Macaca fascicularis: one gene and its partners. The protein of the gene in region 2 interacts with the protein of the main gene of each other region in a pairwise test. Links are inferred from orthologs where the notes say so. Each region holds a gene or a part of one and is shown on either strand. Other genes may lie near its edges.

The links.
Region 1: the proteins of AGTRAP (region 2) and TBRG4 interact in binary tests that used the Homo sapiens proteins (3 or more experiments, as listed by UniProt). The two-hybrid records come from large-scale screens. The link is inferred for Macaca fascicularis from reciprocal best matches to the Homo sapiens genes AGTRAP and TBRG4.
Region 3: the proteins of AGTRAP (region 2) and NKG7 interact in binary tests that used the Homo sapiens proteins (3 or more experiments, as listed by UniProt). The two-hybrid records come from large-scale screens. The link is inferred for Macaca fascicularis from reciprocal best matches to the Homo sapiens genes AGTRAP and NKG7.
Region 4: the proteins of AGTRAP (region 2) and MRM1 interact in binary tests that used the Homo sapiens proteins (3 or more experiments, as listed by UniProt). The two-hybrid records come from large-scale screens. The link is inferred for Macaca fascicularis from reciprocal best matches to the Homo sapiens genes AGTRAP and MRM1.
Region 5: the proteins of AGTRAP (region 2) and TXN2 interact in binary tests that used the Homo sapiens proteins (3 or more experiments, as listed by UniProt). The two-hybrid records come from large-scale screens. The link is inferred for Macaca fascicularis from reciprocal best matches to the Homo sapiens genes AGTRAP and TXN2.
Region 6: the proteins of AGTRAP (region 2) and PIMREG interact in binary tests that used the Homo sapiens proteins (3 or more experiments, as listed by UniProt). The two-hybrid records come from large-scale screens. The link is inferred for Macaca fascicularis from reciprocal best matches to the Homo sapiens genes AGTRAP and PIMREG.
Region 7: the proteins of AGTRAP (region 2) and ECPAS interact in binary tests that used the Homo sapiens proteins (3 or more experiments, as listed by UniProt). The two-hybrid records come from large-scale screens. The link is inferred for Macaca fascicularis from reciprocal best matches to the Homo sapiens genes AGTRAP and ECPAS.

What each region holds. Positions count from the first base shown.
Region 1 is NC_088377.1:85,230,245-85,234,358, reverse strand, and holds the start of TBRG4 (FAST kinase domain-containing protein 4), read right to left. Parts: upstream 2,801-4,114; 5' UTR 2,780-2,800; intron 2,592-2,779; 5' UTR 2,515-2,591; intron 172-2,514; 5' UTR 122-171; coding exon 1-121. UniProt on the Homo sapiens protein: Plays a role in processing of mitochondrial RNA precursors and in stabilization of a subset of mature mitochondrial RNA species, such as MT-CO1, MT-CO2, MT-CYB, MT-CO3, MT-ND3, MT-ND5 and MT-ATP8/6. May play a role in cell cycle progression.
Region 2 is NC_088375.1:223,073,610-223,077,550, forward strand, and holds the start of AGTRAP (type-1 angiotensin II receptor-associated protein), read right to left. Parts: upstream 2,801-3,941; 5' UTR 2,725-2,800; coding exon 2,698-2,724; intron 1-2,697. UniProt on the Homo sapiens protein: Appears to be a negative regulator of type-1 angiotensin II receptor-mediated signaling by regulating receptor internalization as well as mechanism of receptor desensitization such as phosphorylation.
Region 3 is NC_088393.1:59,178,279-59,181,411, forward strand, and holds NKG7 (protein NKG7), read right to left. Parts: upstream 1,883-3,133; 5' UTR 1,697-1,882; coding exon 1,540-1,696; intron 1,469-1,539; coding exon 1,322-1,468; intron 1,236-1,321; coding exon 1,101-1,235; intron 999-1,100; coding exon 940-998; 3' UTR 501-939; downstream 1-500.
Region 4 is NC_088390.1:44,403,804-44,407,779, forward strand, and holds the start of MRM1 (rRNA methyltransferase 1, mitochondrial), read right to left. Parts: upstream 2,801-3,976; 5' UTR 2,620-2,800; coding exon 2,078-2,619; intron 1,878-2,077; coding exon 1,784-1,877; intron 422-1,783; coding exon 329-421; intron 1-328. UniProt on the Homo sapiens protein: S-adenosyl-L-methionine-dependent 2'-O-ribose methyltransferase that catalyzes the formation of 2'-O-methylguanosine at position 1145 (Gm1145) in the 16S mitochondrial large subunit ribosomal RNA (mtLSU rRNA), a universally conserved modification in the peptidyl transferase domain of the mtLSU rRNA.
Region 5 is NC_088384.1:15,201,912-15,205,411, reverse strand, and holds part of TXN2 (thioredoxin, mitochondrial), read right to left. Parts: intron 257-3,500; coding exon 143-256; 3' UTR 134-142; exon of another isoform or gene 1-133.
Region 6 is NC_088390.1:6,485,932-6,490,178, reverse strand, and holds the start of PIMREG (protein PIMREG), read right to left. Parts: upstream 2,801-4,247; 5' UTR 2,767-2,800; exon of another isoform or gene 2,626-2,766; intron 2,192-2,625; 5' UTR 2,157-2,191; coding exon 1,863-2,156; intron 1-1,862. UniProt on the Homo sapiens protein: During mitosis, may play a role in the control of metaphase-to-anaphase transition.
Region 7 is NC_088389.1:46,626,813-46,631,091, reverse strand, and holds the start of ECPAS (proteasome adapter and scaffold protein ECM29), read right to left. Parts: upstream 2,801-4,279; coding exon 2,761-2,800; exon of another isoform or gene 2,070-2,760; intron 1-2,069. Other genes in the region: uncharacterized protein, read left to right, coding at 2,799-3,437. UniProt on the Homo sapiens protein: Adapter/scaffolding protein that binds to the 26S proteasome, motor proteins and other compartment specific proteins. May couple the proteasome to different compartments including endosome, endoplasmic reticulum and centrosome.

The DNA of each region.
Region 1 (4,114 bases), on a different chromosome or scaffold from region 2:
AAGTCAGAGTCTTATGGGCTACCCTGGCAAGTCTCAGTCGGCCAACTGGAGCCATGACAGGGACCTGACGAGCAGCTTCTCTCAGGAGGCACGTGCATCGCTTTACCAGGTGAGCTGCCATAACGTCCTGGGTGGCAGAGAGACAAGACTCCTAGCAACTGATTCCAAACCCTGAAGAGAAAAAGGAGAGAGAAGGGGCTACTACAGGGGCAGTTCCTGACTCACAAATTTGACAAATGAAATAGAGTCAAAGCCACCCTATCTGTAAAATCAGACTGTCTTTCTTGACAATCCATAGGCATGTAATAGTATTTCTGAAGCAAAAATCTCACAGGATTTTTGTTTCAGTACAGAATGCCATGAAATATCAAAACTCAGGAGCATTACAGCCTGGGTGGGAAGGTTTTCATCCTGCTTGTAATTTGAAATCACCTAGGATGTGGTTCAACAATTCAGATTCCCAGGTCCTGCCCAAGGTCTCCTAAATGATGGCATCTCTGCAGACAGGACCCAGACAGCATTTTTTTTTTTTTTTTTAAATTTCAAGGGTAACTAGGATTAAGAATTACGGACTTGGGCCGGGCGCGGTGGCTCAAGCCTGTAATCCCAGCACTTTGGGAGATCGAGACCATCCTGGTGAACACGGTGAAACCGTGTCTCTACTAAAAAATACAAAAAACTAGCCGGGCGAGGTGGCGGGCGCCTGTAGTCCCAGCTACTTGGGAGGCTGAGGCAGGAGAATGGCTTAAACCCGGGAGGCGGAGCTTGTAGTGAGCTGAGGTCTGGCCACTGCACTCCAGCCTGGGCGACAGAGCAAGACTCCGTCTCAAAAAAGAATTATGGACTTGGCCAGGCATGGTGGCTCACGCCTGTAATCCCAGCACTTTGGGAGGCCTAGGCGGGTGGATCACTTGAGGTCAGGAGTTTGAGACCAGCCTGGCCAACATGGTGAAACTCCACCTCTACTAAAAATACAAAAATTAGCTGGGCATCATGGTGCATGCCTGTAATCCCAGTTACCTGGGAGGCTAAGGCACAAGAATTGCTTGAACCTCAGAGATGGAGGTTGCAGTAAGCCGAAATCACACCACTGCACTACAGCCTGGGTGACAAGAGTGAGACTCCATCTCAAAAAAAAAAAAAAAAAGGAAGAATTCACATTCCCAAAGCCTCTGTGGATATATTTTAACACTGCAGACATAGGTGTGAGCCTCTCGAAACCAAGGTAGATTACATCACTAGCCTACTAAACTCCCCCCTACCAAATTTCTAACAGCAAAAACTCTGAACCAATAAGAAGCAGCACTTCATAACATGGCCCAGAATGATTTTTTCAGTCTTAGCCCTTTTTCTGCCTCCCAACAACACAAGGCCCCATTTTAAACAGGCCTTGCACTTCCACCCCACCTTACAGGACTTGTTACCCGGGTCTCCTCCTCCCCCGATCAGGCCCTTTAAAACACATCTCATCCTTCCAAGGCCAAACTCAATGTTGCCATCTCCAGCAATGTGCTTTTAACAATTCTATCGGCCGGGGGCGGTGGCTCACGCCTGTTATCACTAATCACAGCACTTTGGGAGGCCGAGGCGGGCAGATCATGAGGTCAGGAGATCAAGGCCATCCTGGCTAACACCGTGAAAACCCGTCTCTACTACAAATGCAAAAAAATTAGCCGGGCATGCTGGCGGGCACCTGTACTCCCAGCTACTCGAGAGGCTGAGGCAGGAGAATGGCGTGAACCCAGAAAGCAGAGCTTACAGTAAGCCCAGATCGCGCCACTGCACTGCAGACTGGGCGACAGAGCGAGACTCAGTCTCAAAAAAAAAAAAAAAAATCTATTAGCTATTCTAGCTCCCTACAGCGATTAAATGACCCAGGGAACACACATGACAAGGGCAAGCTAAAACGTTCACCCGGGCCTCATTTCTGCCAAAGCAGAATGTACGTTTGAACTTTCTCCACTTCCTGGAACTTGGTATATGGCCAGCACATTTATTTTTACATGAGGGGATTACTGCAGCTGTAAAAAGCTTGGTCTAACTCCACTTAAAGAAAAAAAAAAAAAAAAAAAGAGAGCGATCTCAGTCGGAGTATTTGCCCAAACGCAACATCTACCACTTTCTGAGCCTAAGTACAGTGGAGAAATCTTTCCGACTTATTTTATTTTTTTCGAGACGCAGTCTCGCTCTGTCGCCCAGGCTGGAGTGCAATGGCGCGACCTCGGCTCACTACAACCTCCCCCTCCCGGATTCAAGCGATTCTCCTGCCTCAGCCTCCCAAGTAGCTGGGATTACAGGCCTGCGCCACCACACCTGGCTAATTTTTGTATTTTCAGTAGAGACGGGGTTTCACCATGACCTCAAGTGATCCACCGCGCCCAGCCTCCTTTCCGATTTTTTAAAAGCCCTAAGAGCAGTTTAGCGGAGTAAACGGAAGCCCAGGAACCGGACTTGGGTTTAGGCAAACAAAAATCCAAAACTTTAGTTCTAAAATGCAGAGAGAAAACAACTTGCACTAAGTCACGAAAACTGGCTCGCTGGGGTCATGGACGGTCAACAGGGGCGGCGTCTTCCAGGCCCGGCCGCGCGAGCTAGATGAGAGAGGAAGCGTGCGCACTGGCAAGCCAGCACGGAACGAGCGGACGGCCAGGCACACCGCATCCCACCGCGTCCCAACCTGCTCCCCAGTTTCACCGCATCCCAGGACCCCTGACACCTTCCCAGCCACGCCTCGAAACCCACGCCCAGCCGCCCCTTCTCCCCGTGCCACAAGACCTACGCCGTCACAACCACCGCTGACCTCCATCCGCCGCCCTAACTGTCCCCGGAACCATGAGGTGCGCGGCGCGCTTCCTACGTCACTCGGAGCGCCGGCGGAAACGAGGCGAGCCTCGCGCCGCCCGTCCGGAAGCCACGTCTCCAGCTTCCGGCCACACCTTTTCGGCGGGTACCGTCTTTGCTGAGGGCTCAAGTGGAGCGTTAGGTGATAGGAAGAAAGGCTTCGGTTGCCCCGCGACCAGTACCTAATCCTCATACGGAGTGCGGGAGACGACCCTTTGTTGTCCATGCTGTCCCGCGATCCTTCCCAGCTTGCGTAGGCGTAGGAGAGCTCCTAGGGCGGTGAAAGACTGGGCTGGTGGAGTGGGATAGGCAATGCTGAGGCATGTGGGGTGTGGGAGGGCGAGTGAGTGGAGACTGGGGAACTCCAGAGCGCCCACTTGCAGCTGCACTTGAAGCTGTTCTTGAGTAAATGCAGGCAGTTTATCTAGACCTAGCAATTTTTTTTTTTTACGTCTAAAATTCTGGATTTTTATGTGCAATTTTCCTGATTTTTAAATAGTGGTGTTTAATTACAAAATAAAGTGCGGGATAGCGCAAACAAAATGTATCCGAGGTCTGTATATGGACTTGATTAATTTTACTTCCTGCACAGCCTTTTATTTTCTGTGGAGTTAATAATTACTTTGGCTGGGCACGGTGGCTCACGCCTGTAATCCCAGGCCTCCATGGGTGGATCACTTGAGGTCAGGAGACCAGCCTGGCCAGCATGGCGAAACCCTGTCTCTACTAAAAATAAAAAAAAATTAGCCGGGAGTGGTGGCGCACGCCTGTAGTCCCAGCTACTAGGGAGGCTGAGGCATGAGAATCGCTTGAATCCAGGAGGTGGAGGTTGCAGTGAGCAGAGATCTTGCCATTGCCCTCCGGCCTGGTTGACAGAGCAAGACCCTGTCTCCAAAAACAAAACAAAAAATATAAAATAAAAATAAATAATTACTTTGGTTTGTGTTCGTAAACTAAAAATAAAATTGTAAGCCCCCCAGCCACTGAACGGACCTCCTCTTGGCCAAGGAGACCCCAGAGAAACCTTAAAAACTGAGTTCCCAGCCATTCTGGAAAGGGAGGTTGAACACCCCTTGTTATAGCCCCTTTTGGCATTTAGACAACTGACCAACATTAATGTTAAAGTAGAGATCATAAGACTAACAGACTGTGGTAGTAAGGTACCAAATTATAAATAAGACCTATGGCCATGCAAGGCAAGGGTTAAGTCAAGTTTGCAGACCATCAATCTTGCTGAAGAGGTCTTTTTTGACCCAGTATATTGTGGCTGATT
Region 2 (3,941 bases):
TGCCATTCTCCCGCCTCAGCCGCCCGAGTAGCTGGGACTACAGGTGCCCACCACCATGCCCGGCTCATTTTGTTTTTGTATTTTCAGTAGAGACGGGGTTTCACCATGTTAGCCAGGATGGTCTTGATCTCCTGACCTCGTGATCCACCCACCTTGGCCCCCCAAAGTGCTGGGATTACAGGAGTGAGCCACCGCACCTGGCCCACAATGTCATTCTTGCATGGACAGGGCTTAGTCACCACACCTGGCCCACAATGTCATTCTTACATGGACAAGGCTCAGTCAGGGGCTGCCCTTTGTGCAAAGGGCCTGGGGCAGCTGTTTCTTCTCACCTGGCACCACCGCCCACTCTGGTTGAGCTGGGCAGAAGCGGGCACTCAGCCCTTGCCCAAGGAATATACAAAATGAGGGAGCGCAGGCCGCAGGGAGCAGTTCCCCACCTCCTGAAGGGCTCTGATCTCAGAACATCCCCTAAGTGCCTGCAAGCAAGGAGTCAACGGCTGCTCTCCACAGGATGGCCAGATTCAGCAAACAAAAATACAGAACACCCAGTTAATTCCCAATATGAGATCATGAATAATTTGTTAATATATTCCACATACTGCCTGAGACTTACTCATACTAAAAAACTGTTCGTTGTTGACCTGAAATTCAAATTCACCTGGATCTCCTGTACCTGACCTGGCAACCCTGACCCCTCAGGGCCACCCAGCACTTAGTTGTCTCTGACTGGTAGCGGCTGACACCCTTGGAGATGGGGGATCTTGTTTGCCAAGTCAAGGGGAGGACCAGCCTTTTCATCCTGGCTGAGCTGCCCAGCATAGCTCATACTTGTGGATGCGCTTAGCCTGTCGGGCCTAAAAAGTTGCTCAAAAAAGCCCCTAAGAGACTAAGCCCTCCCAAAAGACAGAAACAGCCAAGGTTAAAGTCAGCCCTAACTAAGCTGGTACCCCAGAAAGGACCTGGCCCTGGAGTCTGAGCCCTATGGGTTCAAATCCTGATACTGCCACTTACTGCCTGTGGGACCTTGGCAACTTACCCAGTCTAAGCTGAAGTTTGCTCATCTGTAAAAAGATGACCACATCAGCTTTCTCATAAGGCTGCCTTGATTATATAACCTGGCACACCACAGAAGCCCATAAATGAGAGCTCTATCCCTCCCACCGCCCTCACCTGATCCTCTCTCAGCAATTATTTTAAGCAAATCCCTCATCAGAGAAAAGGCAGTTGGTGTTAACCCCATGTTGCCTGGAATAGAGTGGGTACTGATACCAACAAACTTCGGTTGCTGTCACGTAAATTTCTTCCCAGCTGAATGTTCCACCCAAGCCCATTTCCCTGCTCCAGCCATGTCTCCCCACCACCGTGGACTGGAAGCTTCAGGAAGGTTTGCTGAAGCAAGTATGATTAAGAAGGGAAACGGGCCCATGGCAAGTCAGCACAGATGTTGTGTAATAAAGTGTATTAAGCCATTGTTTTGTAACCATCTATCTCTCAGGTTCCTTTACTGCCAGACACCAACAGGGAGCTAAATGCTTCGTCACTTATGAGTAAGAGGACATTCCTAGATATTGCCTCAAAGGAGGATGCACTAAGACCCAAAATGGCCGGTTTGGTCCAAGGTCCACACCTTCCTGACCAAAGCTAAAGCTCCTAGCCCCTCTCATGCAAACGGAGCCCAGACACGTGGGCGACGGTGCTGGGTGGGGAGAAAAAGAAGAACAGCCGCTGGCACCCAGACCCGGACTGAGCTCACGGCTTGGCTCGGGAAATGAAGACACCACAGGAAGCCCTGCAACGTTTTCCCCAGTGCACAAAGTTGGGGTTTTCTGCTTTTAAGTAATTTCTGTGGGAGTTTGTGCTTCTTCATTATGAAATAAGGGCGCTGGACGTGTAAATTTTATAAAACCAATTGCTGGCCGGGCGCGGTGGCTCAAGCCTGTAATCCCAGCACTTTGGGAGGCCGAGACGGGCGGATCACAAGGTCAAGAGATCGAGACCATCCTGGCTAACACGGTGAAACCCCGTCTCTACTAAAAAATACAAAAACCTAGCCGGGCGAGGTGGCGGGCGCCTGTAGTCCCAGCTACTCAGGAGGCTGAGGCAGGAGAATGGCGTGAACCCGGGAGGCGGAGCTTGCAGTGAGCTGAGATCCGGCCACTGCACTCCAGGCTGGGCGACAAAGCAAGACTCTGTCTCAACAAAATAAAATAAAATAAAATAAAACCAATTGCTTGGGAACATCAGATTTCCTGAACCCGACTTAGCAAATAAGGAGGTCCTGGGACGGTGCTGGGATCCGGGGGCAGGCCCAGTCCCTGACCCCGCGCGGGGGAGGTGAGCCGCCTCCAAGCCCCTCCCGCGCGCCTTCCTCCTCCTCCAGGGGAATTCTGGGCATGCGGGCAACAGCAATCCTGGGACCAGCGCTGCCTGCTGGAGGGTCTGAGTCCGGGAAGGGGCGGCCCTTGCCCTCCTCTGCCACCTCCAACGGCCCCTCTGCGTCGCCCTGCTGGCCTGTGCCTGACTCACTCTCCCTGCTGTGGCCTGCCTGCCCACCTCCTTCTCGCGTGAGGTCTGTACCTTCCCTTCCTCCCATCCCTCTTTCCCCCAAACTCCCGATCCTCCCACCTTCCTGGAAAATGCAAATGTCCCACCTCCTCCCGCAAAGGGGACCCCCCATCCCCAGCCCGTTGCCACCTTCAGGTTCACAGCAGGCAGCTCCATCTCGACCCAGGCCGAGGGCACCTGCGCGGCAGCCGCGGGGGCTCCTGGGCTCCGAACTCGGGGAACAAACTTGCCCGGCCCCGCCCCGCCCTTTGCGGCGACTCCAACCCCAGCGCCGCTCCGGACCACGTGAAGCGGGCTGGAGCGGGTCACGTGACCGCCGCTCGGTTGCTAGGAGACGGCGTCGGCAGGCGCGCCTTCCGCCAAGCTCCAGGCTCCCGCCACCGCCCAGGCAGTACCTGGGGGCCTCTGGCAAAAGTCGGAGTTTCTGTCGCCCAGGGCGTATCTTGCCTGGCTAATACTCCAGGAAGCGGGCTGTGGGGACTGCCTGCAGCCAGGACAACTGGGGTACCGTCCAGGCGCAAAGTGCTGATGTGGCAACAGCTTGTGTCTCGTCCTTGGGGGCACCCTCTCTCCTTCCCACTTCCCTGTGTAAATGGGCTATTTAGGATACCTACCTCATATGATCCTTGTGAGAGTAAATGAGCTAACCGCTGTTGCTAAAGAAAACGTTATTGGGACAGTTAAACCAGTACTGTTCAAGACTTGCTGTAGGGTTATTGCCATGGAGTGAGAGTTTGGGCTCAACACTGAATACAACAAGGACCCAGGAGGGATTTATAGCTAAAGTGCAGAGTGAGGGAACCAGGGATGGAAGATTCCTGGGAGGAGACATCAAGGAAGGGGGAGTTCTTGCTAACTTAGCAGGACTCTTGCTGAAACTGGTTTATGCAGGCTCAGGCCCAGCAAGGACAGGAAGACACAGAGGTCCAAAGTCAAGGCCTAGTCAAGCTGAGGACTCAGAGGAGCCTAACTACCGTTTGGTCTAGGAGAGAACAGTGCCTGGCACTTAGTAAATGGGCAGGACACACAAGCTATTGTTATTATCAACATAAGAGGAGGCTGGGCGCAGTGGCTTACCCCTGTTATCCCAGTACTTTGGGAGGCCAAGGTGGGTGGATCACTTGAACTCAGGAGTTCGAGACCAGCCTGGCCAACATGGTGAAACCCCATCTCTACTAAAAATACCAAAATTAACAGGGTATGGTGGTGCATACCTGTAGTCCCAGCTACTCAGGAGGCTGGGGCACGAGAATCGCTTGAACCGCGGAGGCTGCATGACACTGCACTCCAGCCTGAGCGACAGGGTGAGACCTTGTCTGGGAAAAACAAACAAACAAACAAACAAAAAACAACACCTGAGGAGCCAAATTAGT
Region 3 (3,133 bases), on a different chromosome or scaffold from region 2:
GGTACCCAGAGCTGATATTGTCCCTCCTCTGCCTCCAATTTTTTCCCAACTTCCCATCATGCTCAAGAGAAAATCCAGCATGACATTAGAGGCCATAACCCCCACCTGCCTCTCCCTTTTCATTTTCCATCTCCTGCCCCCAACATTCTATATCCTGGCCATACATTACCGTTCTTCATTCCCACAAGACTCCTGACTTTTCTGCACGTTCATCTTCAGGCCCCTCTGCCTGGATATTACCTTTCCTTGGCCCTTAAGAAGCCCCTAAACATTCTCTCTCCAGAAAAGTCATCTCCATCCCTCCACAATATGGTTAGTCTTTTTCTGGTGTTCTCCCTGCACTGGGACTGCTGTCTGGCCTGTATTAACTGCTTCTGGTCTGTAAGTGCCTCCTCCCCACCACCCCACAGACTGAGGCCCTGGCAGGCAGGTCCTGGGTCTGACCCGTGCTAGTGTCCCCAGCATGGGGAAATGTGCAAAAAGAACTGAGAGAGACTGCGTGCAAAGAAGGGCTGAGTTTTGGCAAGGGGTACAAAATCAGAGAGGGAAAGAGAAGGAAAGAGAGCCAGCTAAAGGGAGAAAGAAAAGTGCTGGAGAAGGGGAGAGATAGACCCAGGTTGGAGCCTGTATCCACACAGGCCAGGCAGTTGTGCTGGGCAGGAGCGCCCTGCAGGCTGGTCGGCCTCGTGGGCTGTCACCTTCTCTTGGTGCTCAGCTCCTACCATGGAGCTGGCAGACGGTTGGCTTAGGTCTTGGCAGAATTAATCTCAGAATAGCCAGATTCCAGCCAAATTTTGTTGAATGAATGAAGAAACAAGCGGAGGGGCTGGGGAAGGGCTGAAAGGGTGGGGCGGATGTAGGACCAGACTTTCCGGAGGCTCCAGATGAGGCCTTTGGAACACAACGCTCAAAACTCATCTTGCCGCTCTTGCCTTCTGCTCACAAGGTTTCATAGCCAGGCCGGGGGCTGCCGCAGTGAGCACCCAGGCTCAGGGCACCTGGGAGGCCAGAAAGAGTTTAAGCACTTGCCCCTGCCCTTCATCCTCAGGGCCCCCTATTGGCCCTCCCAAGCTCCCCAGGGCAGTGGACAGGATAGTCACCTGTGCAGAGCAAGAGGATAGCTGAGAGCCAGCCCAGGTAGAAGGACCAGGAGAAGGAGGCCTGGATCTGGGGGTGTGGAGGCTCGTCCCACCGCTCGCTGGTGTACACCGCCATGGCCACTGCCATGGAGAGGGCTGGGGGCAAGGACAAGAGAGATAGCTCAACCCTTCGGCAGGAATTCACTGACTCCCGATGCCCCAGTCCAGTCCAGAGTCCTTACCTGCAGCAAAGGCTGTGATGGTTGAGACAAGGGGGCCGTGGCCTGGGGTGGACAGTGAGGGGATGCAGGACAGGACCAGGAAGCTCACGCACACCAGGCCCCACAGGACAGCCAGAATGCTGAAGCTCTGCGTCACATGAATGTAGCCTGATCGAGAGAAGACCACTGAACACCCATCCCCACTGGCAACCCCTCCGCAGGACACCCATTCCCCTTACCTGCTATGATGTCCCCATGCCCCGTTGGCCAGAGGCCCGAGTGAGCTGAGTCGTTGGGACCCACAGCCTCAAACCAGAAATCGGTGCTCAAAGCAATCAGGCAGAACATCAGGCCCAGGAAGCCCACAAGCAGGGCCAGGGACCGGCAGGGCTCCATGGGGGTGAGCACGGGGCTTCTGGGTCCTGGAGGAGGAAGAGGCTGCTGATCAGACTGTTGAATCTCAGAGGGAAGGAGGCTGTGCACCCAGACTCCTGGGTCCTTGGAGCTCAACAAAGAGAGACCAGCAAGCAGTCGGGGCAGTGAGGGTTCGTGTGCTTTGTCAGATGAGGCTGGTTTGGTTTCACACAGTTCCCGGTAACTGGCTTTTCACATACCCTCCCTTCCTGGATTGCACAGGCAACGTCCTCCCTCCCCTCCCCGGGGTCCGGTTCCCCGCTTAGTGTGTGGTGGGGGAGGGCACTGAGGGTGTCAGATCATCAGTGGTTTGGGTGGTGGTTTAGAACTTGCCTCTGTCACAGGTTCTACAGCTCCCACCCCTGGAACCTTCAACACCAAGTTGGGGCTTCCTGGAAGAGGTGAGAGAGAGAGAGGCTTGGGGGCCCTGAGGTGGGAGGAAGCCAATCGGGCTGGGGTATGCGTTAAGTGGGAGGGGAGATGTGGCTGGAGGGGACAGTTGGCGATGTGTCATGCTTTCCTGTGGGTTCTGCAGTCTTCCATTTTGGAAGAGGAAGGCCCCAAGTCTAGGGTCTCTACTAAAGGAGGGGGCTTGGGAGTTAGAACTCCTGGGGCTTAAGGAGGAAGGAGCTGGGGTCCTGAACTCCAGGTCCCGAGGGAGGAAGGGGCGGGTGGGAGCTCAGAATCCTGGGCCGCAGTTTGGAGCATATGCCGAGGGCAGGTAAACAGCAGAGAATCACAATTCTGAAAGGTTTGCAGAGAGGCAGACATACCCACATCCTCATCTGATATAATGAGTTCAGTGGCATCTCTGCTTTGGTGGGGGCTCCAGCCTGGTGGCCTTTGTCACCAGGATCAGGAGGCCTAGGGGGTGTTGGGAGACATAAGGATTTCGGTCGAGGGTTCTCCAGCCCCTGAAACGTTAGCCTCTTCCATCCACACCAACATCAGGTCCTGGCAACACCTCACTCGTGAGCAGGTGTAAGGTGAAGGTACCACAGCCCACGTAGAAGACCCAGGAAAACTTGGCCTCTGTGAAACAGGGTGATATGGTTAGGCTTTGTGTCCCTACCCAAATCTCATCTTGAATTGTATCCCCATAATCCCCACATGTCTAGGTAGAGACCAGGTGGAGGTAATTGAATCATGGGGCGGGTTCCCCCCTGCTGTTCTTGTGATAGTGAGGTTTCACAAGATATGGTGGTTTTTTAAGGGGTTCTTCCTGCCTTCGCTTGGCACTTCTTCCTGCCACCCTGTGAAGACGGTACCTTGCTTTCCCTTCGCCTTCTGCCTTGATTGTAAGTTTCCTGAGGCCTCCCTAGCCATGTTGAACTGTGAATCAAATAAACCTCTTTCCTTTATAAATTACCAAGTCTCAGGCAGCTTTTGTTATTGCTGTTGCTGTTGTTGTTGTTTGAG
Region 4 (3,976 bases), on a different chromosome or scaffold from region 2:
AAGAACCACTAAAAATGCCTCAGGACATGGTGAAGCAGAAGGAAAGCAGGTGCAGAGTGTTTCAAGGAGGAAGGAGTGGTCAGCTGTGCCAGCTGCTGCAGATGGGCCAAGTCAGAAAAGAATTAAGAACAGACCCTGGAATGCAGCAACATGGAGGTCACCCATGACCTTGACGAGGCCTTTGATTCAGTGTGAGAGGAGGGGCTGACTGGTGTGAGATCAAGAGCGTGAGAAGGGAATGTTTGTTTGCATGCTGAAGAGAGTGTAAGAGAAAAGTGGATGATGCAGGAGAGAGGAGGAAAACTGCTAGAGCAGTGTCTCTGAGTACCCAGGAAGGGATGGGGCCCCAGCACAAGCCCCTGCTTGGGGCACCTCCAGCTCTTCCACAGCAGCAGGCGGACGACACTCTCCAGGCCAGACGCTGAAGACACAGTAGGGAGATGTGACGACGGGAGCTTAAGTGGATGTTCTGCAGTGTTTCTGTGTTTTCAGACGCTACCTGTTCAGGGGCTGGAAGTGATGAGTGGGAACCTCATCTCCTATCTGGCTTGGAGAAAGGGGCTCCCTACAAAAAGGTGACGCCAAAAAATTGCTTCTAGATATGTGTTGTTCAATATAGTAGCCACTAGCTACATGTGACTATAAAGCAATTGAAAGGTGGTTAATTCAAATTGAGGTGTGTTGTATGTAAAACATTTTTTAAAGGAATGTAAAATATTTCGTTAATAATATTTTTAAAAGGTCAGGTGCGGTGCCTCACACCTGTAATCCCAGCACTTTGGGAAGCCGAGGTGAGTGGATCGCTTGAGGTCACGAGTTCAAGGCCAGCCCGACCAACAGGGTGAAACCCCATCTAAACACACACAAAAAAATTAGCCCGGCATGGTGGCCTGTGCCTGTAATCCCAGCTACTTGGAAGGCTGAAGCAGGAGAATCGCTTGAACCCAGGAGGCAGAGGTTGCAGTGAGCCAAGATTGTGCCATTGCACTCCAGCCTGGGCAACAAGAGCGAAACTCTCTCAAAAAATTAATAATATTAACAATAATTAAAATGATTACATGTTAAATTGATATTATTTTGGATATACTGGGTACAATTTATTTAAAATGTCATCTCTTTACTTTTCAATGTGGCTACTAGAAAAGCTAAAACTACCTATGTTTCTCGCACTACATTTTAACCGGACAGCATTGCTCTCTAGACACGCCCCAGAGCTCTCCCACTTCTTGAGAGGGAAATTTCTCACCCTGCAGATGGGGTGGGGGTTGGGGGCAGTGGGTATGGTCAGAGGGGATTCCAAATGCGGAGCAATACTGCCCCCTTGTGTCCAGCGAGGGAAGCACAGCTGAAGACGGATGGGAGAGGGGTGCTTCCAAGGTTTGTCCCTTGCTAGGTATTAATGGCATACTGATCTCCTTGTTCAAACATCCTTTCAAGCTGTGCCCTATTCGAGGAACTCAAGCATCCTGTCCACCAACAAAATGCATTTACTGAAGCCCGACCTAGTAGGCAAGGAGACACTGAGGCTGACTTACAGAAGAGGCAAAGTGGTGCATATCTGGGAAGAGGTGCAGGAAAGGGTATGACGATAGGAAGAATTCAGATAATGCTCCAATTGCCGTTTTAAATACTCCAGGACCCTCCCATCCCCAGAGGGATTTGGAAGGCCGAAGGAAGCGATGCCAACAGGCCCCTTTCTCTCCCTCGCCAGGAGCTAGCTTCGTCCCCTTGAAGAGGCTGAACTGGGCTCATATCTGTTCCTTACCCTCTTGCCCCTCATTACCTGTAAAAATCCAGTGAGGTCATCGGTGGAGAACACGTCCATCACCTCCATAGCCCCCGCGCTGGCCTTGCTGACTACTGGAGTGAGCGGGCAGCTGCAAGGTTTCCCCATTCACCGCATTAGGCTGGGCCATCTCAAGCCCGGCTCCCTACCCTCCCCGGGCTCCCAAGGGCTAGAGGCGTGAGAGTTCTGGGACAGGTGAGTCTGGCTAAGGGATCACCCAAGGGCCAAGGTGCTTAGGAACTTGGCTGCATCTCCAAGTTGGGGCACATGGAGAATGAGGGACGTCCGTGCCTGTTTCTCCGGCTGGTGATGACCTTATCCACTCCGAGGAAGTGTGCGGAACGCAGCACAGCCCCAAAATTCCGGGGATCCTGGATCCCTTCGAGGACGAGCCACAACTGCTGGGGGTCGTCGCCTGGGCTCGCCTCCCCGGCCTCACTCCAAGGCCGGGGCCGCAGCGGGCTCACCTCCATGCAGACACCCTGGTGGACCTGGTAGCGGCACATTGTGTCCAGTTTCTGCCGTCTGGGCCGTAGAACTGGAATGTCCCGCGCCTCGGCCATCCGGAGCAGCTCGGCCCGCTCCCCCTGCAGCCCAGCTTTACCCGCCTGGAGCAGGAGCCGGGCCACGGAGCGGCGGGCGGCCCGCAGAGCCAGGAGACACGGGGACAGGCCAAACAGAAGCTCCAGCCGCGAGGTCGGCACCAGGTCATCCAGCAGCAAGCGGCTTAGCTCCTCCCCACCAGGCCGCTCCCCACGCCGCGCTGCATGGGAGAAATGACGGGTGACGAGGCGACCCCAGGTCGCGCCCCGGATGGTCGAGAGCAGTGTCATGGCGCAGCTCCCGCCAGGGACTCGATGCCCCCTGCTGCGTCCCCGGGAACGGTAACCCACGCCGCAGTTCGCTCCCAGGCTCCCAACACAGGGGTGAAGGGTACTCGACAACTGCCTCCGCCGAGCTCTCTCGGACAGGAAGAAACAGGCCGCATTCCCCACAACTGGACTAGAGAGCTACGACCGTCCCCTCCCAAGCTCCCACGTGGGTTCCCTCGCTTCCGGGTTCGGGAGCCCACCCCCAGTCCCTGGCGCCTCTTCCTGACGGTGTTTTGCGCATGCGCGGTCGCCAGGCTGTCCCCACAGCACCTCCTACAGGGCTAGAGGAGCAGCGAGCTGAGCTGGCCGTACTACCGGCTGCGTCCTGTGTTCCTCGAGGTCAAGGAGGTCGGGGACTGCATTCACTCACGCACCAGCGAAGGGCACTTTAAGGAGATGGGTTGGCCTTCCTGGTCAACCAATTCAGTCTTGTTGCCTCCCTCCCCACATCCCGGCGCTGGTGATTTTCCCCAGAACTACTACTCACTAGCTCATCACCAGCCAGCAGGAGGACCCCAGCAGTCACTTCCTATCCCGGGCCGCTGATTCTCTTCCTAAGTGACTCTGAGCCTGTCCTGTCCCTGCTGATAAGCCCACTAACGCCCCCGTCCCACAGGGAATGGCGAGACTTTTGCGCAGCACTCAGCCCCCCAGCGATCCAGGAAGGCAGGAAGGAGCTGCCTCTTCAGCCCCATCTTGCTCCTGCACTTAAGTTCTGTGCTGTTCGCACAGCACTGCATGCTCTTCCAGGCCTCTCAGCCTTGCACACCTGTCTTCTTCGCTTTGTCAAACTCCTACACGTTTTCAAGACCCAAACAAACCCATTCCTGCTACCTAAGGTAATCCATACTCCCATGAGTGAGGCCCCCAATCCACCCACCAGGTAGGTCCCAGGTGGGACCGACCTGGAAGAAATTCTGAGACACAAGCACCCCTGATCACAGAGAAGGGGAAAGAATGGAAAGACACACTCCTGAAGCCAAGGCAGATTGGTTGCAATTTTTCTTTTTTAATGATCACCATGAAATCCTCTGGACCAGGCCCTGGTATTCTGCTGCCATAGTCAGAGTGGAGGGATGACCCCACGAGGGGAAGAGCAGCCAAGATTGGGCTGGAGAGCCCAGAAGGAGAAAGAGAAGGGGAAGAGGGAGCAGTGGGGCAGGCAGAGGAGGAAGTCTGGAGCCCTGGATAACCACGCAGATATAAGGTGAAGGCCTCCCTCTGCCACCCTAGCCCTGAGCCGCAGAGGTTGAGGTGCAAGAAGATGGGGGGAATTTTGGCCACAACTCCTTTCCCATATCAAAGGGAAGAGACTGAG
Region 5 (3,500 bases), on a different chromosome or scaffold from region 2:
AGCACTCAGGGCTGGAGCCCGGGCTCTAAGCACAGGCCCCAGAGGCCAGACAGGAGGGAGGCAGCAGGAAGGGCTGGCGTGGAAGGGCTGAGTTCTACTGGGGTCCCATGCGGGCAAGGGAACCAGGACTCGCCCCTGCTTGTCAGCCAATCAGCTTCTTCAGGAAGGCCTCCAACTGATCCTCATCCTTGATGCCTACAAACTTGTCCACCACGTCCCCATTCTTCATGGCCAGTACAGTGGGCACCGCCGACACCTGGGTGGGGAGGACAAGGGGGTCCAAGTGAATTGGCAGTGAACGCTTCTCAACTGCCACTCCCAAGCCTTTGTGGGGAAGGCTGGTGGCTTATCCAGGGCACTGATTTCCCAAAGCCATGGGCAGGCCTAGAGGAACGTGGCTCTTCCCTTAGTGCAGGGGTACTGCAGGGCCCGGTGGCCACCCGTTGAAGAAACTTCTTCCATTGCGGGCTCCCAGCAGTACCCTTCCTCCCTTAACCACAAGACTGACTCACTGGCCCAGTGGTTTTGCTGGAATGACAGGAGAGATGAAAATAGCCCATGCAGCTGCAGGCCAGGGCTGGGGGCAGGGAGGAGCTCGGGGGAAGCCTGGCCCGGGGGGAGACAGAAGCTGGGGGACAGTTCGAGTCCTGGCTTTGCACTCACTTGCAAGGGGGCCTTGGCCAGGTCACAGCACCTTTCTGAGCCTCAGTGTCCTTTTCCATAAAATGGGGGTAATGTCTACCTTTAGGGTTTGGGATGAACATTAAAGATTCAACAAGTATAGGCTGGGCACAGTGGCTTACATCTATAATCCCAGCCCTCTGGGAGACTGAGGCTGGAGGATTGCTTGAGTTCAACAGTTCCAGACTAGCTTGGGCAATATAGTGAGACCTTGTGTTTACTAAACTCCCCCCCCAAAATTAGCCAGGCATGGTGGTGCATGCCTGTCCTCACGTACTTGGGAGGCTGAGGCAGGAGGATCGCTTGAGCCTGGGAGACTGAGGCTGCAGTGAACTGTGATGCTGCCACTGCACTCCAGCCTGGGTGACAGAGTGAGACCCTGCCTCAAAAAAAAAAAAAAAAAGAAGAAGAAAGATCTGAGCATAAAGCAGAGCTCAGGGTGGGCGCGGTGCCTCACACCTATAATCTCAGCATTTTGGGAGGCTGAGGCGGGAAGATCATTTGAGGTCAGGAGTTCGAGACCAGCCTGGCCAACACGGTGAAATCCCGTATCTACTAAAAATACAAAAATTAGTGGTGGCGGGCGCCTGTAATCCCACCTACTTGGGAGGCTGAAGTGAATCGCTTGAACCTGGGAGGTGGAGGCTGGAGTCAGTGGAGATTGCACTACTGCACTCCAGCCTGGGTGACAGAGTGAGACTCCGTCTCATAAATAAATAAATAAATAAATAAAGCAGAGCTCAGGTTCTGGCTGACCCAATCCGACTCCTACCAGCCAGGTGAGCTGGGGCATGACCCTCAGCAACTAAGCTTCAGTGTTCTCAGATGCAAGATGGAGATACTAATGGCACTTCCATTAGAGGGCATGAAAGCTGAATGAAATAATGTGAGTAAAGGCTCAGCACAGCAACCCGGCAAATAAGCGTAAGAACCTGGCATTGTGCCTGGCATACAGTGGGCATTCAAAAAACGGTGGCTGCAGAGGGCACAAGGAAAAGTCCAACACAGGCCACACGAGAGCATGTTAGCTTGCTGCCGTGATGAGTGACAGGGTCCAGAGACTCAGGGCCTTCTACTGGATAGCGTGGGAGGAGAGGCTTGGCCATACACGACCTCACGCTTATTGGCGGGTTGCAGGCAGATGGCAACGGCAACATTCTTGGTCTGTGAAGCATTTACTCAGTTCCCTCAGGGACCTGCATAGGTTACATGGAATGCAGATGAGGCTGTGGCCCACCAGACTGGCATCGTGAGGTCTCTGCTGCCTGGGATCCCTGCCTGGCATTCGTGGGCATTTGAGAAAACCATTTAAACAGAACAAGATAGGCCGGGCGCTGTGGCTCACACCTGTAATCCTAGTACTTTGGGAAGCCGAAGCGGGCAGATCACTTGAGGTCAGGAGTTCGAGACCAGCCTGACCAACATGGTGAAACTCCATCTCTACTAAAATACAAAAATTAGCCAGGCCTGGTGGCGCATGCCTATAGTCCCAGCTACTCGGGAGGCTGAGGCAGGAGAATCGCTTGAACCCGGGAGGCGGAGGTTGCACTGAGCTGAGATTGTGCCATTGCACTCCAGGCCTGGGCGACAGAGCAAGACTCTGTCCCTGCCCCCAAAACAAAATAAATAAATAAAAATAAACAGAACAAGATAAACACAGACTTTTCTTACACACAAGTTCACTACAAAGTAAGAGCAGAGATTCACACAAACGTACCAGGTCTTCACATATCCCAGTGCTGCCCTGCCGCAGACCATCTTGGAAGTCAGTAAGATTTAGAATGTTCAAAACCCGTGCACATGGTAGTTAGGAAAGGCATGCAGGCCAGACCATCCCACCCTCACCCACTAACTACGTGGCACGCCCCGCACCCCACTCCTCATGGGCACTTTGGGGACAAACACAGCAGGTCAGAGGACACAGTCCTTGTCCTTCTTAGTGCCTCAGGCCCCTTCAAATCTGTCCCTAGGCTGATGTGGGTGGCAAACCCTGTCTCCAGGCAGAGCAGGGCCCGAAAAAGTTTGCTCCAGGAGGCTCCAGGGAGCGCCTGAAGCCACTAGGGCCTTCCCAGGCATTCTTTGGTGCCCTCTAGTGGTCTGCAAAGGCAGCTGGAGCGCCTCAAAGCCAGAGCCTCTTGGCAGAAGCACAGAGCTCAGCGGCCGGCTCCCACCTGCACACGGTCCTATTCCTTTAATTAAAATAAACGCTTTATGCCACTGTATAAGAAATGGCCTAACCTTTTTCATGGCAGGACTCTAAGTTCACTGAAGAGGCTCAGAGAGTGGACTTAGTGTTCCTTAAGAACTCCAGATAGGGACAAGCACAGTGGCTCACACCTGTAATCCCAAACACTTTGGGAGGCCAAGGCAGGAGGACAGCTTGAGGTCAGGAATTCATGGCAAGACCTCATCTCCATAAAAAAATTAAAAAAAAAAAAAAGGGAACTCCAGATGAAGGCCATAATGATCTCACTCATGTAAACCTCCACACATGCTTCAACACGCACAGACCCTGCTGGTGTCAGGTAGACAGCAGATGTGCTGTGAATGGAGGTCTGGTCATTACTGATCAAGGGGATTTTTTTGAAGTTGAGCTGAAACACACACACATAAACCCCCCACTAGAGCTCACAGGAAACCTGAGCTGGAATGGGACTTCCCTCGACCCCAAGGAGGCGGCTGAGGCCCTGCTGCTCCTGTGTTTGGCTCACACATCAGGCGGGGCCAGTGCCTGTAAACACTGCCTTCCGTGGAAGCGCACAGGGCCTTGGTACATTCTTCTGGAATGTTCTGAGTGTGAAAAAGGCAGTGACTGAGCC
Region 6 (4,247 bases), on a different chromosome or scaffold from region 2:
GCCTGTAGTTCCAGCTACTTGGGTGACTGAGGCATGAGAATCACTTGAACCCGGGAGGTGGAGGTTGCAGTGAGCCGAGATCGTGCCACTGAACTCCAGCCTGGACGACTGAGTGAGACCCTGTCTCGCAAACAAACAAGCAACAACAAAAAACCCAAGGGTAAACTACCCTGGTCTCCAGACCCTACCAGCGATCCCTAGACCCACCAAGTGTCCTGTAAATACAGGCTGTTTTAGTATCCAGGGTGAAGGATGTGACTGACTCCTCGTAGAATGAGTCCATGGCAGGGACCCAGCTCAGAGCTCCTGGATATGACAGCAGCAGTCAGCAGCAGGAGGATCCCCCTGGTGCCTGGAGCCTGTTTGTCTAAGTCCAAACTCTCTTTCCAGACACAGATTGACCCCAAGACTGAAGGAGAGGGCCCAGAGTAGAGCAGGCTCCCCCGCCCAGCACCCCCTGCACACCAGGAGAGCGCCTGTCTTCCTGCCTCGGGTCTCACTCACTCTATCCACCCTCTACAGTGGTCCATAGTGATCCTTCTAAAGGGCAGTTCTGACTGTGACACTCAACTGCTCGAAACCCTTCTATGGCTTCTTGTTGCACATAGGACCAAGCCCCAACTCCTGGGCCTTTCACACCAGCTGGGTGACGGCTGTGAAGGCTCTTCTTCATCAGCTCGACTGTCTTTGCCTTGGCAAGCCAGAGCCCAGGGGTTGGAGCCCAGCCCAGGTTAAATCTGATGAGTTACGTGACCTTGGACAAATTCATTTCATTTCTCTGATCCCTGAGGGTGGCGAAAACAATCAAAAAGTTCTTCCAAATAAAGACTAACATTTGGCTCAGAGAACTCTCTGCAGAGGGTCCAGAAAGAGCCACCCTCTTTCTGGAGAATTCTCTCGTCTTCAGAATTCCCAATGAGACACCGAGGAGAAACCTCTGCAGCCCCCAGTCCTCTCTCTGGAGGTCTGTTCATCCTAATGGCTTCTGTCCTTTCTAAGTGACACGTCTACACCTCCAGCTCTGGGTTTAAAGATGCATCGGTTGAAGGGCCCATAGACGCTTACATCCAATATAAGGACATCTTCCTGCCAGCACCTCTCATTTGACAGCAAATCCCCTCTAACTGACCTTCTCAGCAGCTCCTGAAGTTTATCCTCTGCAAGTCCAGATCCTTAGTCTCCTTCAGGAGCACCTCTGCTTCTATTCCGTTCTCCATCACGTAGATAAAGGACAAATTCTAATATGCTAATGAGACCAGACTTTCCACTGTTTAGAATCCTCCAGACTCCTGATCATTCCTGGGAGAGTCTAAGCTCCTTCATGTCCTTTCTCCCGGCTCTACCTTGCTCTCTGTCCTCTGCTCATACCCAGACTACAATTCTGGCTCTCCTCAGGGGTACACGGCTGAGTTGGCAGTACACCTTGCTTTCCCTCAGCTCTAGGCTTGGACCTGAGGGGCTCTGGACTTGCACTATTTCTCCTACCCTAAATACCCCTTGACCTTTGCTTCCCTGGGTGAACTCTGGAATCATCTCCTCTGGGAAGCCTTCACCGGCTAAGTTTGTGTTTGGCGAGCCCTCGCTATTGGCCACTTGCTTGCAATTTCCTATCACGTACAGCTCTTATCACCTGGTATTGTGAGCATCTGTTTCCTCCAAGACATGTTTTCACTAACTCATTCAACTATTTGTTGAGCGCCTATATGTGCCAGGAACTATTTGGGGTGCGGGGGAAACAGCAGTGAACTAACCAAAATCCCTGTCTTCTTGGAGTCTATATTCTTGAGGCTCTTTGAGGGCAGGAACTGTCTGGCACCAAGGAAACACTCCATTAAAAAGATGATTAGTATTGTCAGTATTACCTGGGACATGGCACCCAAAGCGCTCTTAGCTGAGCGAGCTGCAGCCTGGAGGCCCTGCTGACCTGGCTCTGGGGTTTCCAGGCGTTTCCAGGAGGGGCCTGTGCAGAGGTTGAGGTTGACGGCTCTCAGGGGCAGCCTCCTTTGGAACTGCCTGCACAGAGACCCCAGGGCCCCTGCAGAGGTCTCCTGATGGCTGGCCACAGGCTGCAGCTCCTTGCTGTCCTCCAGCTGCTCCTGGTGCCGGAGAGATCTCCGGCGCACAGAGGTCCCCATGCTCTGCCACCGAGAAGCCATTTGTCTGGCCAAGAGTCTTCTCTGTCCACTAGACCCTGGGGAGGAGGGCAAAAAAGCAGGTCAGCAAGGCATTCCCCATCCCCATTTCCAGGCCCCACAGAGACCCTGGACACAGGGGAAGAGATGGGATGCAGCGGGGTGGCGAGGGCGAGCGGGGAGCGGGCGAGTTGGCAAGTGTGGGTGCGGGAAGGAGGATGCTTCCTGGAAGAGAGGTCTCGGGTCAGCAGCATTTCTGCTGTCCCGCACTTCAAGTTTCCAAAACAGCTGTCTTTTCATCCCAACCTCCTTCCTCTCTCTGGCTCAGGCGAGGAGGGGAGGCGGGGTCAAGACACGCCGTAGCCGAGCTTCAGCGCTGGGCCCAGGACACGATCACCATCTCCTTCACCAGCTCGCCCAGACCAAACGCGCCCCCACGCAGATCCCGGCCTTCCCACCAGACGCCCCGATTTTGATCCGACGCTTGTAGTACCCAGACGCCTCCACAGGCCGTGCGTGTCCGAACCCGATGCCCTCCCCTCTGAACAAAAAAAATTGTTTTGAGCCGAGATCGCGCCATTGCACCCAGCCTGGGGAACAAGAACGAAATTTGTTGTGCCCCGCCCGCACTCACCCGACAGCACCAACGCGGATCACACGCCCAGCACAGCTGCTCCTCGCCCACCACAGCCGGTTTGAAACTCTGCGCGGCTCCGCCCCAGGCCCCGTCCTCACAGCTGATTGGTTCTGTCCCCGCCCCCGTCCCCGCCCCAGGGATCCGATTGGCTTTCTCTGTCGCGGCTGTAAATGCTGCGCTCGGATTGGCCCGGCCGTCCCCATTCATCTCTCCGGCCCCCTCCAGGCCGCCAGCCTCGTGGCTCCGGGCTTTGTATTATGCGTCCCGCCCGGGCCACCGCCCTTGCCCGCCCAGCCCCCGCGCATCGCACGCCGGGTCCCCTCCCTGGAGCGCGCACAGGGTTGAGGCTGCTCTGATCCCTGGGGTGGAGGCGGAGGTCCTGGGATCTAGGCCTCCTGGCTCAGGCCTCAGACCCCGCAGTGGGCAGGGACCCTGTCCATCCTGCCAAGGGGTCTGGCTTTTCTTTCTTGCTCAGTGGTTTTGTCCGAAGGAGCCAGGGCCTGGCAGTGCGGAGCCCTGGGTTCCCAGAGACGTTTCCTTTCAAATTTCCCTCCTGACCCTCCCTTCCTGTGACAAGACACTGTCCCTCTCTGAGTTCCCCATACTCGCCATCCATGCTCCGCGCCCCCCTCCCAGAAGATGCGTCCTGGAAGCGGGGATAGACCAGAGTACCCGTCTGCCCTCCTCCCGCCTACACCAGCTCCCCGTCCCCGCCTTGCCCCACGCATCCCTCCCTCTCTCAGCGGAATGCCTGCCTCTCCTCTCCTTAGCATCCAAACACAATCAGCCATTATAGAAGTTCATCCTTCTCCTTTCGGTGACCTCAGAGCTGTGCTGCCCAGTCCCCCGGCTGGTTTCTTTGTTACCTCTCCGGCACAAGAACCTGAGATGCTGACTTCTTGAAAGACTGTCTTCAGCCCTCTTCGTTTCTGGGCGGTCTCACCCACTCCTTTGGCCTCAGTGATTTCCAACGAAAGGATGATGATAATGATTAACGTGTATATGGCCCTTAGTATGCACAGGTACTGGTGTTGCAGTTTATTAACTGATTTGACCCTCTGCTATGGTTTGAATGTGTCCCTCAAATTTCACATGTTGGAAATGTAATGCCCAAATTCGTATATTGGTGGCATTTGTTTGTTTTTGAGACAGAATTTCGCTCTTGTTGCCCAGGTTGGAGTGCAGCCTGGCGATCTCGGCTCACTGCAACCTCCGCCTCCCGGGTTCAAGCGATTCTCCTACCTCAGACTCCCGAGTAGCTGGGATTACAGGCGCCCGCCACCACGCCCAGCTAATTTTTTGTATTTTTAGTAGAGATGGGGTTTCACTATGTTGGCCAAACTGGTCTCGAACTCCTGACCTTAGGCAATCCACCAGCCTCAGCCTTCCAAAGTGCTGGGATTACAGGCAAGAGCCACCACGCCTGGCTATCGGTGGCATTTTTTTTTTAGACATATAAATTGTTATTTATTCAAATT
Region 7 (4,279 bases), on a different chromosome or scaffold from region 2:
GCTCCGCCTCCCGGGTTTACGCCATACTCCTGCCTCAGCCTCCCGAGTAGCTGGGACTACAGGCGCCCGCCACCGCGCCCGGCTAGTTTTTTGTATTTTTAGTAGAGACGGGGTTTCACCGTGTTAGCCAGGATGGTCTCGATCTCCTGACCTCGTGATCCGCCCGCCTCGGCCTCCCAAAGTGCTGGGATTACAGGCTTGAGCCACCGCGCCCGGCCAATATGAAACTTCTTAACCAGTGCACACGTATATGCTTTCAAGTTAAATTATTCTAAGGTATCAACTGCCACGTATTCAGTCTCTCCTGAAGAAATACAGAAACCAAGTCCACAGGTATCTGTGGCTGATGACTGACAACTTAACTGAACAAAACAAGAAGGCAAGGATTGGAATGATCTGTTCCTAACTTTCTTAGCTACTAGAGCCAGGAAATCCCTTAACTAACAGCATCTTAACCAGTACCTGAATGTACAGAAGCACACTGCACAGACACAAACACTTCAGCCACTTCAGAATATCCAATTCTTCCTCTAGTTTTGTTCCCCATTCCTGCTAGCAATTCAGACTTTAATGTGTTTGGTGCTACAACAGGAACTCAGATGTCATACAGCACAGCAACTGAAAAAAAATCAGACCACCTCACACCCATCAGGATGGTTACTACTGACAATAAGGGTAAGCGTTGGCCACGATGTAGAGAAATTAGAACCCTGTGTATTGTTGGTGGGAATGTAAAATGGTACAACAACCACTGTCAAAAACAGTACAGTGGTTCCTTAAAAATTTTTAACTAGAATTATCACATGATCCAGCAATTACATTTCTGGGTATGTACCCAAAAGAACTGAAAGCAAGGTCTCAAAGAGATATCTGTACACCCATGTTCACAACAGCATTATTCCCAATAGCTAAAACGTGGAAGGAACCGAAGTGTCCACATACAAATAGATGGACAAGGAAATGCGGTATATACATACAAGGGAATATCATTCAACCTTTAAAAGGAAGAATTCTGACACACGCAACAACATGGATGAACCTTGAGGACATTATGCTAAATGAAAATAAAACCAGTCACAAATTCTGTATGATTCCATTTACACGAGGTACGAAGAATACTCAAAATCACAGAGACACAAAGTACAATGATGGTCGCCAGGGGCTGAAGGGAGGAGGGAATGGAGATTTGTTGTTTAACGGGTATCAAGTTTCAGTTTTGCAAGATGAAGAGTTCTGGAGATGGATGGTGGTGATGATTGCACAACAGTGTGAATGCACTCAATCCCACTGAACTATACACTTAAAAATGGCTAGGACGGGAAATTTTATGGTATGTGTATTTTTATCACAATTAAAACAAAACATGGAACTGATCTCAGAAGGCCTGGTGGTGCTTCCACGTGGAACCGACAAAAGAGCAATCTATTTAGCCGGCTTCTATCTCTAATCGCACCATGAGACCTTGTCTCCTCCGACTCTCCAATCTGCTGAGGATCACACCAAGTGTTTACTTCAGCTTCAAAAAGAGCAAACAGTACTCCTGCTCCACCAGTTCTGTGTCAAAGCAGCAAGGAACTTAATCTCTCCAAACCTGCCTCCTCTTTAAAACAAGGATAATTCCTACCTATCTGCCTCACAAGGTTGCTATGAGGGCAAAAGTGAGATCATGTATATAAAAGTGGCTTTAAACTGACAAGCACTAGAGAAACCATACATTACGTGTATAACTACTTTCATATGGAAATTCAGAAGCGGCTTTAACAACGTAAGCTTCATAAAGCTTGCAACACCTCACCCATGCTTTATTCCTTTATTCCATTTAAAACCCACATCATCTCCAAATAACACCTTTCTTGTTTTTGCCATAAACTGAAGGACAGCACTGGGGCGGGGGGGCGGGGGGGAAGGAAAGAAAACCCTTGGGTGGAAAAAAAAAAAAAAAAACTCAAAAGGCAATCAGAAATTATCTCACATGTCCTATGTCCTATGAAAATTCGGTATTTATGATCCCAGCGTGGGCCCGCGGCGCCCCGGAACTACACTTCCCACAAAGCATCGAGGCGAACCCCGGCGGCGGGCGGGGCGGCCTGGGATTCAGGGTGACCACCGCTCTCCCCAGACAGGGACCGCCGTCCCCGGGAAGGCTGCACCGCGTACGCTCGAGGGGGCACTAACTCTCCTTTCTGAAAGCGCTGTCACCCCGTGGTTTCTCCTGCGGTTCGACCGGCGACCCTCTCCGCCCTCCCTGCTCCACCTGAGGGTCACCGCCTATTCGTGACCTTTCGGCTGATTACTAGAGTGTCACAAAAAGGCACCTTCTCCCCTTTCCCGAAAGCTCCATTTCTAGAACTCGCCCAACCGTCGGGGACCCGGGGCTAGGAGGGGTCAGATGGGACGGGTGGACACTGCCCGTCACCCCGGGGCTCCGGCCCTCCCGCCAGCCGAGGCTCGGTGGGCAGGGGGCCGGGCTCCCCCCACCCCGGGCCAGGGCGGATCGCGGGCAGAGGTGGCTCCGCCCGGGGCTCCAGTTTCAATTTCGCAACGTGACGGTGCAAACCTGAGGCCTACAAACGCCAGCGGCGACGGTCCGCGCCCCGCCCGCCAGCCAGGCCAGGGCGCCCCAGCTCCCCGCACGCCGCGGCCGCCGCCCGCCCACCGGGCCTGGCGCCCCAGCCCTCCAGCCCAGATGCGGCCGCCGCCCCCCGGCACCGCGCGGCGCCCGTTCCGGCTCGCGGCCCCAGGTTCGGCCGCGGCACTTACTCAGCTCATCCTGGGAGGCGGAGGCGGCGGCCGCAGCCATGTTGCGCCGGGGAGGGAACGAAGGAGGGGCTGGGGGGGCAGGGCGCGGCCGGGGGGCTCGCGGCTCGCGGTGCGGCAGGGGCCGCGAGCCGCCTCCGGTCACTCGGCGCGGACCGCGCTGTGCCTCGAGGCCCGCCCGCCCGCCGCCGCCGCCGCCGCCGCCGCCGCCTGCGTCCTCCGCGTCGCGAGCGTCGCTCTTCGCTGCCCCCGCGAGCTCGCGACTCGGGCGCTCCCGCAGCCTCGCGCCTCTGCGGAGCCGCCGCCGCCGCCGTCTGTGCGGCCGAATCCCCGTGCGCCAGGCCCGCGCGGCGGCTCTGCGACTCCGCGCCGCACTCGCCCAACTCACGCCGGTTTTATATTTAGAAAGAGCTGAGCCATCCTCCCAGCGGCCCCCCCGCCGGGCCCCTCGCGCGCCCGCCCGCCCGCCCTCGCTCGCTCGCGGCTCGTCCTGCCCACCTGTCGCCGCCCGCCCCGCGTGCGCTCCCCGCGCGGACTCGGCACGCGGCGGCCTGTGCGGGCGGCCCGGCCTAACTGCCCCAGCGCGCGCGCAGAGCCAGCCCACCGCGGCCCCGGCGCGGGCCTCTGACCTGAGTCGGAGCCGGTCTCCATGCCGCGGACGCTACACTCGGCGCCGCGAGGTGAGGGCTGTGGAGTGAGGCGTTCGGCGGGCCGGGCCCCGGGGAGCCGCGCGCCGCAGTCCGTGAGGGGCTGGGCCGAGCGGGCCCAGGCTGCCCTAGCGGCCGGGGGAAATCCTCGAGGCGGGGCCGGAGCGCCCTTTTCCGAGGTCTGCGGCTGTCACGTTGGCTGGGCCCGACCTGGGGAAACACGCCTGTCCAAAGGAAGAGACGTGGACTCAGAAAAGTAGAGCCGGGCTCGGAGTCGGCGGGAGGAAGCCCCGCCCTGAGCCTCCCGCCGAACTTCTCGGCCTCGGCGCTGACTCAGTCCCGGACGAGTCCCTGCGCCGCAGCGGCCCCTGACAGCCCGGTCCTGATGTGGAGGTTACTGGTGCTCCCAAAACGGCTAGCGGGAGTAGGGGATCCACTCAGCCCTGCAAAAGTTAGATGAGCCAAGATTCCTAAAGTTCACATGGAAGTATCTATGCCTATGCGAGCTTTGACATTTTGTTCAGGTACTCTACGTTCTTTTCGGTCACGAGAGTGATTTATTTTCGATATGCTCATTTTAACTTTCTGCCTTCGCTCTGTCCGTGAGGTCATGTACACTTGCAAAATGAAATTCAAATTCAGGGGTTGCATAATTGCTGTACTTTAAGTGATAGTACTGTCATAACAAATTAGATACAAGATCAGATACTTTTTTAATATAAGAAGAAGAAATCAAGTCTTAAATGGATTGAAATTGCATTTATTCCTTAAAGCAGAAATCTATAAAGCCGTAAGTAATGTCTTGAAAATGGAATATGTGTCATTCCTGTGGTAACAGGCCAAGTACAAGGTACAACACTGAAGACATTTTTATT